2 linked regions of the Sus scrofa genome follow. The protein of the gene in region 2 purifies or fractionates together with the protein of the main gene of each other region. This does not show direct contact. Links are inferred from orthologs where the notes say so. Each region holds a gene or a part of one and is shown on either strand. Other genes may lie near its edges.

Evidence for each region. The genes of interacting proteins can lie anywhere in the genome.
Region 1: the proteins of SPDYC (region 2) and CDK2 purify together in Homo sapiens (co-immunoprecipitation; 3 studies listed by BioGRID and IntAct, with this or other methods). This does not show direct contact. The link is inferred for Sus scrofa from reciprocal best matches to the Homo sapiens genes SPDYC and CDK2.

The regions. Positions count from the first base shown.
Region 1 is NC_010447.5:21,362,404-21,370,535, reverse strand, and holds the start of CDK2 (cyclin-dependent kinase 2), read right to left. Parts: upstream 4,707-8,132; 5' UTR 4,569-4,706; coding exon 4,453-4,568; intron 3,737-4,452; coding exon 3,659-3,736; intron 3,548-3,658; coding exon 3,427-3,547; intron 2,184-3,426; coding exon 2,013-2,183; intron 1,322-2,012; coding exon 1,220-1,321; intron 522-1,219; coding exon of another isoform or gene 378-521; intron 75-377; coding exon 1-74. Other genes in the region: melanocyte protein PMEL, read left to right, coding at 5,496-5,649. UniProt on the Homo sapiens protein: Serine/threonine-protein kinase involved in the control of the cell cycle; essential for meiosis, but dispensable for mitosis. Phosphorylates CABLES1, CTNNB1, CDK2AP2, ERCC6, NBN, USP37, p53/TP53, NPM1, CDK7, RB1, BRCA2, MYC, NPAT, EZH2.
Region 2 is NC_010444.4:7,028,284-7,034,935, forward strand, and holds the end of SPDYC (speedy protein C), read right to left. Parts: intron 6,550-6,652; 5' UTR 6,462-6,549; intron 5,912-6,461; exon of another isoform or gene 5,601-5,911; 5' UTR 5,558-5,600; coding exon 5,410-5,557; intron 5,195-5,409; coding exon 5,136-5,194; intron 4,486-5,135; coding exon 4,400-4,485; intron 4,306-4,399; coding exon 4,134-4,305; intron 4,051-4,133; coding exon 3,451-4,050; 3' UTR 2,598-3,450; downstream 1-2,597. UniProt on the Homo sapiens protein: Promotes progression through the cell cycle via binding and activation of CDK1 and CDK2. Involved in the spindle-assembly checkpoint. Required for recruitment of MAD2L1, BUBR1 and BUB1 to kinetochores.

The DNA of each region.
Region 1 (8,132 bases), on a different chromosome or scaffold from region 2:
GTCCCAAGAGTCCGAAAGATCCGGAAGAGCTGGTCAATCTCAGAATCTCCAGGGAACAGAGCCCGGCGGGTCACCTGAAAATGGGGAAAGAGGAAAGGCCGAGACCCACATTGACGTCAGTCACAACTGCCCATTGGATAATGGAGGTTCCCACAGGCAGTGGAAGTTCAGCAGGGCCCCATGACTCCCTCCCCAGGGTCTTTCATGGGGTCAGTCACACAGAGCCTGAGACAATGAAGTCCCTTCATCTGTCTCCTTGCCCCCTCCTTCCTTCCCCCAACCATGGCTTTGCAGATCCCCAAGGCTGGGTGGGGCTGGGAGGGGGTGAATGTCTGGGGTGCCACTGACATGTAGCAAAGGGATCCCAAGCCACTCACGGGGTGTGGGGTAGACACTGCGGTCATCCCCCCTCCTTGTGATGCAGCCACTTCTAGATAGGAGCACAGCGGGCAGAGACTGTGTCTTCCATTTCTTCTGTGTTCCCCACAGCACCTAGCATGGTGCTGGGTACATACTAGGTGCTTAACAAATATTTTTTGATGAATTGAGAGACGAATATGGGCAATTGTAAGATAATGTACTGGGGGATAAATGCACATTATATGTATGTATATATATATATATATAGGCTAATGGTCTCCAAGCCCCCAGTTACAACCCAGATAAGGGACCATAAAACATATGGCTGATTTGATTTGAAAACTCAGCTCACTCCACTGTTGCATTAAAGGGGATGAGAGCTCCCTTACAAGACTGGGCCTTAGGGATCCTTCAATCTGAAAAGCCAGAGGTTGAGGGGGGGTATGATCTAAGCCTGCAGTTTAAAGAAGAGTTGTGAATACAGCGAACACCGTTGGCCTCACCACTGTGTTCCTAGTGCCCTACAGTAAGGTCTACAGGCCAAATAAAGGAGATGCTAAAAGGAACTCATTTTCCCAAATATAAGCAGGCTGAAGCTAAAATGGCTGCAGAAATGATTTAGCTCAGTTTGGAGATAAGACATGAATGCTGGCTGCTAGGGCTGATTGAGGCTAGCCTAACACTGTGGCAGACATTGAGGATGACAGTCCTATTCTTTCCCTACCAACCTCCTTTGTGCTACTCTAGAGGAGGGATCCTGTGATGAGAGAAGGACCATGAGCCTGGGCCAAGAAACAGTACTGTCGTTCCTGAATGTGGGGAGGAGTGGGCCAGGTGGAACTCGGGCATGCCTGCATACCATCTCAGCAAAGATGCAGCCCAGGCTCCAGATGTCCACGGCTGTAGAGTAGTATTTGCAGCCCAGAAGGATTTCAGGTGCTCTGTACCACAAAGTCACCACCTGGGGACAAGAGTAGGGAGGGGAAGGATAGTATATGGGGCATGGAGATTCCAACATCTCAGCTCCTCGACACTACGCTGCTGACTCTCAGCCTCTTAAAAGAAGCTTTTTTTCCTCCATCCTTTCCTTCCCTCTGATGTCCTCTAATAACCGGGACAGCTTCTTGTCTGTTTGTTTTTGCTTTTTAGGGCCACACCCTTGGCATATGGAGGTTCCTAGGCTAGAGGTCCAATCGGAGCTACAGCTGCTGGCCTATACCACAGCCACAGTCATGCCAAATCCTCAACCCACTGTGCAAGGCCAGGGATCAAACCCGCAACCTCATTGTTCCTAGTCGGATTTGTTTCTGCTGCACCACGATGGGAACTCCTGGGACAGCCTCTTATCCTAGAGTAGCCTAGTCCATGGTCCTTGGAACCCCAAATTTTCTGAATCCTCAATTTACAACTTTCTTGGAAGACTTGAGGCAAGCAGTCATAATTTTAATGGTGTACCATCCAGCTCTCCTAGCTTAGTATCTATCAAAATATGAAGTCTGTGCATACTCTAAGACCTCTTGGGGCATCAGAGATAACTTTCCATCTAGTGATAGAGAAACTGCTAGCCAGATATTTTTAGTAACTTTGTGAATGTCCCTGTTAACACCTCACCTCCCAAGAAATTCAGAGAAGACATGCAGAGAGGAGCTCACCTCATGGGTGTATGTACGAACAGGGACTCCAAAGGCTCTGGCCAGTCCAAAGTCTGCTAACTTGATAGATCCTTCTGCGTTGATAAGCAGATTCTGAGGTTTAAGGTCTCGGTGCAAGACCCGATGAGAATGGCAAAAAGCTAGCCCCTGAAGCAGCTGGAACAGATAACTCTGACAAGGGGAGAGAAGGGACTGTGTTTTTACACCAAAGTGAGCAAATTAGGGTCTGCTCTGTGCCTCCAGAGTTTCTACTAAAGCCTTTATTATGTTAGATTGTAATTAAACATTTACATGCTTTCTCCCATTGGACTATCAGCCCAGTGAGGATAAGGATCAGGTCTTATTCAGTTTTTTGTTTTGTTTTGTTGCTTTTTAGGGCTGCACCCTCGGCATATGGAGGTTCTCAGGCTGGGGGTCAAATCGGAGCTGTAGCTCCCAGCCTATGCCATAGGCACAGTAACACAGGATCCAAGCCACATCTGTGACTTACACCATAGCTCACGACAACGCCAGATCCTTAACCCACTGAACGAGGCCAGGGATTGAACCTGCATCCTCATGGATGCTAGTCAGATTCATTAACTGCTGAGCCATGACGGGAACTCCCTGTCTTATTCAGTTTTGCATCTCTTTTCCATATTCTGTGTCTAGCACATTGAGGGTCTTCAATAAATGTGTTGGATAAATGTTTATTGATAGATTAAAAGTAGCTCCAGGAGTAAAGAACCCAGCAAAACAGACAATAGAGACTCACTGGCTATTTCTCCCACCAATTTTTTTTTTTTTTTAAAGAATTTACCAAGTGCTCTCCAGTCCCATTTATCTGAGTTTTGTTGTTTTTTGTTTTTTGTTTTGTCTTTTTGCCTTTTCTAGGGCCGCTCCCAAGGCATATGGAGGTTCCCAGGCTAGGGGTCTAATCAGAGCTGTAGCCATGGGCCTATGCCAGAGCCACAGCAACATGGGATCCAAACCTCGTCTGCGGCCTACACCACAGCTCACAGCAATGCCGGATCCTTAACCCACTGAGCAAGGTCAGGGATCGAACCCGAAACCTCATGGTTCCTAGTTGGATTCGTTAACCACTGAGCCACGGTGGGAACTCCACCTTTTATCTGAGTTTCATCTCACCTTCCACCTGAGCTGCTAAATTGACTCACAAGAGTTTCAACTTTGATTCTTCTGCCCAGCCCTAGGGTTAATAAGCATAATGAGCGGTGAAAGAGCCATACACACACACACACACACACCACACACACACACACACACAAAAGGTATGTGTGATTGTGTTTGCATGATAGGGGGATGACGGCTGGGAATGAAGCCAAGATCACAAATCATCACTCAGTCTTAATTATCTGTCTTAAGTGCCCCCAAGACATGCCCATGTTGGGGAGGAACTGATGAGAAGGATTACCTTTATGAGGGGAAGAGGAATGCCAGTGAGAGCAGAGGCATCCATGAATTTCTTGAGATCCTGGTGCAGAAACTCAAAAACCAGGTAGAGTTTGTTTTCTGTGTGAATGACATCCAGCAACCTAGGGAAGGGGGGATGTCCAGGAACAGAGGTGAGGGAGAGAAATGTCCAGATAACACAAACAGAACACATCTTCCTTTACTGTCAGAGCACCTCCCGGATGCATACTTACTTGACAATATTAGGGTGGTTAAGCTCCTTAAGCAGAGAGATCTCTCGAATGGCAGTACTGGGTACACCCTCCGTCTCACTTGGAGAAGTTGGGAAAGCAGATGGGAATGTGGTTACAAATATTCCTTTTTCCCCAGCCCAGTCATGACCCCACCAGAGACACCACCCCAGCATCCTCTAGGGAAATGAGAGAAAAGGGGTGTCAGGGATTAATTCATGGGTGGACAGGAAGGGCTTTTGGACACATTAAGGTCATTATTTCTTCTTTTCCCAGGGGTAGATTAGCAAAGCCTCTTGGTGAAAGTGAAGAAGGTTAACTGGGGGAAAAAAGGTGGGGGTGGGGGGAGTAGCAGCACCCAGCCTCCGAGAGGGGCCAGTGAGTTTCAACTGCCATTCTTTTGAAAGGGGGAGAGAATTCTAAGATGAGGGTGGGGTTGAGACAGCGAGGAAAGTTCGTATTCAAAAAGTTGCTCTTTACCGCTTTCTACAAAACCCAACTCCACGGGGAGTCCTGGACCCCAAATCAGAGGCCTCCTTCCTCTTCCCGAGTCTTTCTGACTGTACATTTTCGGGCATCACCCGCCTTTGGAAAGGAAATTTCCCATGGACTCTACACTACCCTATATTCTCCACAAGGAAACCCTGTACTGTCCTTCAACCTACCTCTCCACTTCAAAAGAAGTCCCTCCCTACTACCTTCCGGTCCCTGGATGGCTACCCGCCTGTTGGGGTGGGGGTGGGGGGCACTCAAGGAGCTCCGGAGTTAGAGGAGTCCCAGGTACAGAGGCCACTCACGTGTCCAGGCGGATTTTTTTAAGCGCCACCACTTCTCCCGTCACCTTGTTTTTGGCTTTGTACACAACTCCGTACGTGCCCTCTCCGATCTTTTCCACTTTTTGGAAGTTCTCCATGAAGCGCTAGCGAGTCGAATCAGCCCGGCCCTGGAGCGGGGGCCTGGGAACCCAGCAGAAAGCGGCACCCAGCTCTCGGGGGCCGAGGAGGGGGAAACAGGGCCCTGCACGGCAGCCCCAGGTCGGGATGGAACGCAGCGTATCTCTCGCTCTTGTCAATTTGTCCAACTTGAAACAATGTTGCCGCCTCCCCCCGCCAGTTCCCTACCGCCACCAGAAGCCCCGCCCCTCCTTCCCGCGTTTCCCTGGCTCCGCCCCCAGATCTTCCTATTGGTTAACGTCAGAGTGGGAAGGGCCCGTCCTGCGCTCCGCCACGCCCCAAACGACCCTTCCCAGCGCAAGTTTCTGAGGTGTATTAAGTCAAGTTTTAACCTAGGTGGGAAGGTGAAATATCGTGTTCCTAGTATTTGATTTGGGCTCGAGTTTTCTACCTGTACCTTGAGTCTGTAGGGATTTCCTAATATCTAAACCGGGTTTTCACCACCCTTAGGAAAATGTGCACTGATCTAAGATTAAATTCCACCTAGCCCAGGGAACCTTCTCTGAAAAGCAGGAAGCTGGGAAGCTCCTTGCAAGGGTTTCCTGGACCTCGGAGGAGTCATTGCCTCTGTCAGCCTATCCTACACAATCTCTGTTTTTGGATGCAGGGTTGCTGTTTCTACAGTCTTTTTGACAGGTTTCTGGTTTGACTCACAATAGATTGATCCACTCTCCCATGATGGATTGTGTGTGTAGGGTACGTGTTATGCTATGTTGCTGCCCTTCAGTCAATTCTTTGGGCGGGGGAGTGTTGAGAGTGACCCTGTGAAGCCAGAAACTGTCACTGCGTAGCAAGATGTCCAGGGACCAGGATCCCTCCCCAGTTCTGCCTTTCTCAGGTCCTCCTCCTCCTCCCAGGCCTCCTCTGGAGGGAAAGGGGGAAGGGCTATGCAAATGAGCACCCCTTTCTTATATAGGGGCTTGTCCTTTGCCCCAGTGCCTTTGGTTGCTGGAAGGAAGAATACCATGGATCTGGTGCTCAGAAAATGCCTTCTCCATGTGGCTGTGATGGGTGCCTTTCTGGCTGTGGGGGCCACAGAAGGTGAGTATGGGGAGTGTAGACATGAGCAAGTGTGAATTTGGGGTTGCACACCTGCTCTGCTTTTCCCCTCCCTAATGGGAAATACCAGCAATGCCTCAGACTTCTCCCTCCCATTTGATTTAGTGAGGACATGGGCACATGAACTCTCTCTCCACATGGAGATTTGGGACTGAGCCTAAAAATAATCCCATCTGCTTGGAAGGGCAAGAGAAGAGTGGGTCTTTGTGGCCCTAATTCTGAGACCCGTGGACAGTGAGCTGGAGCAGGGGATCCAAGGGGATAAAATGAGAGGGAGACTCTTTTAGGCAATGTCTCAGGCACTTGAGATAGAGTATTTCCAACGAGGAACAAGAGAATGTGGTATTGAATAGAGGGTAAAGAGGTACCACATTTCCTCTTTGGGATGGGCATGGGCAAACACAGGCTTTTGTTCTGGGGCTGGAAGTCAGGCAGAGGGGTCTCAGCTGAGCATCACATGAAAGGGCTCTGGGGGATTGTGGCCTCGTGACAGGAGCGAGGGGTGGGGGTGGGAGTGGTGAGAGGGTCTGGAATGTCCCGTGCTGCTCTGAGGAAGGGAGGGTTGGAAGTGGACAAAGAATGGGGCATCTTATGATTCTCTTGCTCTAGTTGTGGGATGCTCAGTGGGATGATTCCAGGTCTCCCCCAGCAGAATCGACCAGATTTCTGGTACATGTTAGAAATGGAGTTAGGATAGTTTCTGGCATGCTGAAATATCTACATCGAATCCTAATCTACCACTTTCTCTAGACCCCTGGTCTCATAGACTTCTAGGAACTTCTTCTTGATCTGACTTCATACTTGGTGCAGTTTCAAGTCTTTTTCTTTTACTATGTTCCTTATTGTACTCTAGACACATTCTGTTTGTAAATGTCCACCTGAGGTTCTTAAAAATATTGTGCTTTTTGGAAAATTTTTTTTTTTTTTTTTTTTTTTTTGTCTCTTTAGGGCTGTGTCAGCAGCATATGGAGGTTCCCAGGCTATGGGTTGAATCGGAGCTGTAGCTGCTGGCCTACACCACAGCCATAGCTATTCGGAATCCAAGCCACATTTGCGACCTACACCACAGCTCACAGCAACGCCTGATCCCCTAATTTTTTTTTAAGTCATAAGAAGACATTTCTAGATATTCATGAAATTTCAAATGGATGGGTTTGGTAACTTTGTTATGAACTAACATTGTGTTTCCTCAAGAAAATATTCAGGCGTTCCTATTGTGGCTCAGCGGTTATGAACTGGACCAGTATCCATGAGAATTCGGGTTTGATCCTTGGTCTTGCTCAGTGGGTTAAGTATTCGGCATTGGCACGAGCTCTCGTGTAGGTCAGACGCAGCTCAGATCCAGTGTTGCTGTGGCAACTGCAACTGATTCCACCCCTAGCCTGGGAACTTCCATATGCTGTGGGTGTGGCCCTAAGAAGCAAAAAAAAAAAAAATCTTTTTGCAGATACATACTGAATTTGTAGGGTTTAAAATAACATGATGTTGGGAGTTCCCATTGTGGCTCAGCGGTAACTAACCCAACTAGTTACCATGAGGATGCAGGTTCTATCCCTGGCCTCACTCAGCTCTGGTGTAAGTTGCAGATGCAGCTCGGATTGCTGTGGCTGTGGCATAGGCAGGCAGCTGCAGCTCCCATTTGACCCCTAGCCTGGGAACTTGCATATGCTGCAGATGCAGTCCTAGAATGAAAGAAAAAATAACATCATGTGTGGGATTTGCTTTTAAGTACTTTAGCCCGAAACAAAACAAAACAGGAGTTTCTGTCTTGGCTCAGTGGTTAATGAATCCAACCAGGAACCATGAGGTTTTGGATTCCATCCCTGGCCTCGCTCAGTGGGTTAAGGATCTGGCGTTGCCATGAACTGTGGTGTAGGTCGAAGACACGGCTCGGATCCCGCATTGCTGTGGCTGTGGGGTAGGCCAGTGGCTACAGCTCCAATTAGACCCCCAGCCTGGGACTCTCCATATGCCGAAGGTGTGGTCCTAGAAAAGACAAAACCAAAACAAACAAACAAAAACAAAACACAACAAAGGACTGATAAAGCAAATGTGGCGAAATGCTGATTGTTGTTGGATCTGGGTGAGGCATATGGAGATCCATCATATCCCTTTTTTTCAGACCTCTCAATCAGTTGTAATAATTCGTTTGCCCCCATCCCCAATTTCCACCTCCCTCTGATCCACCTTCCTGTTTGCCATAGTGATCCTTCTAAAACACAAATCTACAAATCTGATCATGATCAAAAGCTTTTGCAGGGTGAATTTTATGGTATTTTTATTTATTTTTATTTTTTTTTTTTAGGGCCACACCCGTGGCATATGGAACGTCCCAGGCTAGGGGTCTAATTGGAGCTATAGCTGTGGGCCTACACCACAGCCATAGCAATGCCAGATCCGAGCCACATCTGCAACCTACACCACAGCTCACGGCAGCACTGGATCCTTAACCCACTGAGTGAGGC
Region 2 (6,652 bases):
TTCCAGCTCTATGATGTTCTGGAAAAGGAAAAACTAAAAACAGTAAAAAGGTCAGTGATGGCCAAGTTTTCAGGAAAGGCGGAGGAAGTGAGCAAAGAGCCTTTTTAGGGCAGTGAAGTTATTCTGTGTGACACTATAATAGTGGATATATGATAATTATGTATTTGTCAGAACCCATAGAATGCACAAGGCTGAGAGTGAATCCTAATACAAACCATGGACTTTAGTTAATAATAATGTATCAATATTGGTTCATCAGTGGTAACAAATATACTACACTAATGCAAGATGTCGCGAAAAAAGTGTGTGCCGGCAGACAGGATACGGAAAGTCTCTACCCTCTCTGAGCAATTTTTTTGTAAACCTAAAACTGCCCTAAAAAACAGTCTATCTTGGGAGTTCCCATTGTGGCTCAGTGGTTAATGAATCGGACTAGGAACCACGAGGTTGCGGGTTCGATCCCTGGCCTTGCTCAGTGGATGAAGGATCCCGCGTTGCTGTGAGCTGTGGTGCAGGTCGCAGACAGGGCTCAGAACCCAAGTGGCTGTGGCTGTGGCTGTGGCTGTGGCGTAGGCCACCAGCTGCAGTTCCGATTCGACCCCTAGCTTGGGAACCTCCATATGCTGCAGGTGCAGCCCTAAAAAGACAGGGGGGAAAAAAAGTCTATCTTAAAAATAGAAAAGTAAATATACACCTATCATATGACCCAGCTGTTTCACTTTTAGGCATTTACTCAAGGGAAATAAAAGCATATATCCACACAAAGACCTGTGTATACGGATTCATAGCAGTTTTCATTGTAACAACCAAAACTAGAAACAATCAAATGTTCGTTAACAAATTGTGAATTGATAAGCAAATTATGGGGTGTGCTCATGTGCGTGCGTGCGCACATGCGTGATAGAATACTTCTCAGCAATAAGAAGGAAAATTGCAGATGGAGCGCAGAATAATTATTCTGAGTGTAAAAAGCCAGACAGAAGTACATTCTTTTAATTCCATTTCTATGGACATCTAGGAAAAGGACAGCAATTTAGTGTCAGAAAGCAAATCAGTGATTGCCTGGGGTGGGCTGGCAGGTGGGAAGGAGGGGAGGGATGACAAAGGGGCTTGAGGAGACTTTGGGGGGTGATGGATTTGTTCATTATCTTAATCATAATAATGGTTTTACAGGGGTATACGTGTCAAAACAAAAATGTGCATTTTAGGAGTTCCGTCGTGGCTCAGCGGTGAACAAACCCGACTAAGATCCATGAGGACTTGGGTTTGATTCCTGGCCTTGCTCAGTGGGTTAGGGATCTGGCATTGCTGTGGCTGTGGTGTAGGGCAATGGCTACAGCTCCAATTCCACCTTTAGCCTGGGCATTCCATATGCCATGGGGCAGCCAGAAAAGAAAAAAAAAAAAAATGCCAAGTGACCCACACTCTTGTCTAACCCAAGTACAAATTTGGAGGTGCCCTCCACCCCCTTCTCAGGCTTGACAATTCAGTATTAGACTTCAGAACACAGGAAAGCTCTTTACTTACTGTTTCCATTTTATTGTAAAGGCTACAACTCAGGAGCAATCAAATGGAAGAGATTCTTGGGGCAGGGCCTGGGGGGAGGGGTGCAGAGCTCCCCAAAATCGCCCTCTAAAACTCCAAAGATCCCTGCCCCACCCCTCCTGGAGGAAGTGGGGAAGCTTAAAGTTCCCAGCTCCTGGATCAGTTTTCCGGGTGACAGCCCCCACCCTGAGTGGCCTCATTAGCATAAACTCTGAGATCCCGAGGCGCTCATTATGAATAACAGAAGACACTCCTAGACCTCCGGAAATTCCAAGGGTTTTGGGAACTCCGTGCCAGGAACCAGGGACAAAGACCAAATATATATAAGTATATGTATATGTCTTTTTTATTGTTACACATTCAGTTATGTCGGTTTAGATTCTCTTTCTGGAAGGACATAAGTTAGTACTTGCGTTGCTTCTAGGGAGGGGAACCGGGTGGCCGGGAGTCAGGAGTAGGAGGGGACTCCTCGTACAAAATTCACAATATACACGTGAATAGATTACCTATTTGAAAAGCTCTTAAAAACACTTTACAGTCCTTGCCTTGGCCTCTAAGGTGTGCAATCTCTAGGCTTTACTTCCGTGGTTCTGGGGAGCAGGCAGGGGAATCACTGTCCAGACGCCGGGGCTACCTGACCCTTTCGACCTCTCGTCTTCAGTTGTGGCCACTCCCCATACAAACCCGCCCCTCTAGCCTTTCTCTGGGCAGCCTTTCCTCTACTACCGGTAACACCCACATCTGAGCTCTATTCCTGAGTCGAGTAGTTCTACACCCTCCAAGGATTAGCTCATTCAAACCTCCGACCTCCCTTTTAGTGTAATCCCCATTGGACTGATAAAGCCATCCCTGTAGAGGAGATTAAGTGACAGCTAAAAGTCTCACAGAAACCTGAACTTTGAATATCAGCTGTCTGGCACCAGAGACTAAGTCTTTTTCTTTTTTTTTCCACATCTTTTTAGGGCCACACCTGCGGCATATGGAGGTTCCCAGACTAGGGGTCGAGTCTGAACTGTAGCCACTGGCTTATGCCACAGCCACATCAACTCAGGATCTGAGCCACAGCTCACGGCAACACCAGATCCTTAACTCACTGAACGAGGCCAGGGCACGAACCCGTGTCCTCATGGATGCTAGTCAGATTTGTTTCCGCTGAGCCACGATGGGAACTCCAACCAGAGACTAAGTTTTAATCACCACTCCAGACTGCCTTTCAAGAATCCTGTGCCTCATCTCTGCCACCCCAGCATGGGCACTCTTGACCTTGTTCAAGGCCCAATGCAAATGCCAGCTCTTCTGGAGGTCTTCCTGCTCCCTGGTTAATGAACTACTTACTTGGGGTGGGGGACTTGGTATTATAATAATCCCATCATATTTGATTGTAGCCCAGAGCAAGCACTAAGGTTCTTCCTAAATAGACCTGGCCCTGCAGGCTTTTCTAGACTGACTGTGGAGCCATTCTCCTTGTGAGGTTTTTTGGTCCAGCAGGCTCCAGGCCCTCTTCTGCGTATACCTCATCTCATTTTGTGCCATCTACACTGTGTGAATCCAGCATCCACATGGGTATTAAAGAGGGAGATGGAGGCTCAGAATGACTGGTCACCAGTGGGAGGGGAAGAGCTCTCACAGGGCCTGTGTTCATGGGTCTCAACCACGGGTAGCTGAACCTGGTAGACCCCCTCTCCCCATAACTCCCTATGCCCACCCTGGGCTGAGGACCCAGACCAGGGCCTGAGCCTAAGCACAGCTGGTGTCCTGTGGACATGAGTTTATTAGAGGAGCCAGGTCACAGTGGGTACAGGTGGCAGGTTGGGAGGAGAGGGCCGCGGAGCATGGGCAGTCCTGCCAGCCTGAGGCCAAGAAGACTGGAGGAGGCTGGGGCGCGGGGCCACGGCCAGTAGAACATCAGGTCAGCAGGCTGTTCTTCACCCTTGGAGTGTCAGCGCCGAGGGCACAGCAGCGGCTTTGAGAGGACTGGGGGGGAGAAGGGCAGAGGCTCAGAGGACGCTTGCCAAGCTCACATGCTAGGAGGTGGCAGAGCTGGGTCACGTGCCCAGGCCTGCTGGACCCCGGGCCCCATGTCCCTCCTTCCCATTCTGTTGGGCCCCACACCTGCCTCCCAGCTCCCAGCCCCAGCTCACTGCGGAGGGTGTAGGTGCCTGGCTCCAGTCGCAGCTGGGTGGGCAGGACAATGAGGAAGCCCCCGCCCCATTGGTCTTCAGCCACTGAGACGCTAGCTTGGAAGGGAGGGCGGCGCTGCCCAGGGTTTGGGGAAGGGCATTTGGATGAGACAGGCAAGGGGCGGGACTGGTGGCAGCAGTGGTGGGGGGGGTGGCAGCAGTGGCTGCATTGAGGAGGCACGCCACAGAGGGGACAGTGGGGTGGTGAGAGGCCTGGGCCCCGGGGGAGGGGGATCTGGGCCTTCGGGTAGCTCCTTTGAGCCCTGCCGTGGTGGGGGCGCCGCTCCCGTGTCCAGGCCCAGTGGGTTGGCTCCTTGGTCATGACCTGGCATGAGAAGAATGGATGGTAAATGGGAGGGGGGAGGTCCAGCCTCTTTGCCCCACCCCAGGATGCTGGCAGGGCCTCACCTCCTCGCAGCTCTGGCGGCTCACAAAGGCCCTGAAGCCCATGCGTGCCCACAGCTTGGTCCTTTGCTGCAGGAAGTATGACACTCGATGATGCCAATCTCGGCCCAGGGCCCAGGGAAAAATCACACATTTGGGGTCCTCCAGGTCTTCTTCCATGTCATTTGCAAGGTACCTGGCCGCAGTGTGAACAGAGGCCGTAAGCATCTGTTCTGCCCCACCCTACAAATTCTGGGTGAATGACCCCACCTGGTGCCCAGGCCACTCACAGTGCCAGGAACAGATTGCTGAGGGTGTACTCGCTGAGCTTCAGGTTGGCACGTCGGAAGTAGACCAGCACCATGGCCAGGAGATACTGCAGATGCAGAAATGGGGAGAGTTAGGAGTTCCCTTTGTGGCTCAGTGGTTAACCAATCCGACTAGGAACCATGAGGTTGCGGGTTCGATCCCTGGCCTTGCTCAATGGGTTAAGGATCCAGCATTGTCGTAAGCTGTGGTGTAGGTCGCAGACGCAGCTTGGATCTGGCATTGCTGTGGCCTCTGGCGCAGGCCGGCAGCTGTAGCTCCGATTAGACCCCTAGCCTGGGAACCTCCATATGCCTCGGGTGCAGCCCTGGAAAAGACAAAAACAAAGACAACATAAAAGGGTAATAATTTTCTGCTGGGCACATAGGTTGGGGTCAGTTTGAAGCTTAATTGGAAAACTGGCAAAACTATAGAAGAGAAATTCAAAAAAAAAAGAAAGAAAGAAGGAAATGGGAAGAGTTAGAGTTAGGCCCTGGGGGTGGGGGTGTGCCAGGCCTGTCTGCACCCAAGGGAGTTCTGGGGAGGGGGGGAGAGAAAATCCAGGTTAAATGGTGGGAAGGAGCCTGTAAAGACAAGGGTTTAAAAGGGAGGCGCTCCCCCTCCAGACCAGGGGATCCAATGAATTAGCAGCACTCAAGCCCCACTGATTCCAGCTTCCCCCAAGGACGCCTGGCCTCTACCCGCCCTGTGGCCTCTCACCTTATCTGAAATCTGGAAACAGGGATCTTTGGAGAGGAAATCCTGGAGGTAACTGTGCTCTGGGGGTAGAGAAGAGGAAAGTGGCTGGGGGTTGCCATCCACCCCCAACAGGACAAGAGTGGCATCAGAAGTGGCAAAGCCCAAGCCTCCACTTTCCGACCTGACACCATCCCTCCACCTGCCAAACCAGGTCACGGCTGAGAAGGGAAGGGACAGAGACTGTTCACCCTCGGTCCCCACCACCCCTTCGCCGCTGGCCCCCAAGTGGACTCACCCAGAAGGCTGAGGAAGGCCTGGAGTTGCTGGTGCTGGTGGAAATGGAAAGACTCTCTGCCCTCATCTTGACTGCTCCGGCCCCTCAGCTTCACCTGGGTGCCAACCGCAGGGACAGGGACTGTGGCAGGATCTTGGGCGTCACTCATCTCATGAGTCGGGGAGTGGGGAGGTGGGGGGAGGCAGAGTGACCTGTAGAGAAAGCACCCCAGGACGTAGCACCTACCCTATTGCCCCTCACCAGTCAAGAGCATCAGTGTGGCTGGCCTGACAGAGGGCCTCCAGAAAGTGGAGGGACGGGCACAGAGGACTGGGGGTTCAGAGCAGAAGGGAAGTGAGATGGGGGAGGTCAGAAAAGCAGAATTCCTGGAGGCTGCAGCAGACTGTCCCCCCCCCGCTTCCTGGTACCCCAGACCAGCCCAAAGAGTAACAACAGCAGCAACAAGCCCGGCCTAAGTGCCTGGAGCTGTGTTAAATGCTTTAATGACATTATCTTATTTCATCCTGGCAGGTAGACTCATTTTGCAAACACAGAAGCTGAAGCATGGAGGTCTTAGGGCCACTTCAAGGCGGAGCCTGTCTGAGCCCCAAAGCCAAGGAGTAACAGCTTCTTTTGCCTCCCAACTCACAAGGAGGCGCCCTCTCCCCGGCTCCAAAGCCTCAGCCGCCAAAGAACTACCAACCTCTTGACTTCGCAGAGGGAAAATTGAGGCCTTGAGAGAGGAACGTTATTAAGCAAATACTGGGGTTGAGGGCAAGTTGAGGTAGGGCCACGGAAAACATTTTGAGCTACGAAGAGAGAGATGCCAACTATGGAACTCAGAGGACGGTCCCCTCCTCCACCCCTTGGTCAACCGGGGTGGGGGGCGCGCTCCATCTAAGTTCCCACAAGCAGCCCAGCTTGCCTTACCTGAGCTCAGGAGTTACCTACAGCGTTGCGTCCCAACCCAGCGAGTGTATTTATATAGCCCTAGAGCTGCCCCGCCCCCGGAGCGCTCCACCAATCAGGCGCCTTCTTGGGAAAGGGTGGGGCTTCTCGCCATCACCACCCACCTCTACTAGGAGTAAATCCAGTTAGTCTCCACCGCTTGCTTCCCAGCTGCAGCTCCGCAAGGTAAAAGCTTCTCCATAGTCTCATCACCTACAAGAGGGGTGAAGGCAGGCCAGCTGGACCCCAAGGCCCGAAAGGAGGCAGGGGCCCCTCTCTTCTCTTTACAAATTCAGAGCCAAGGTGCGGGCAGGGA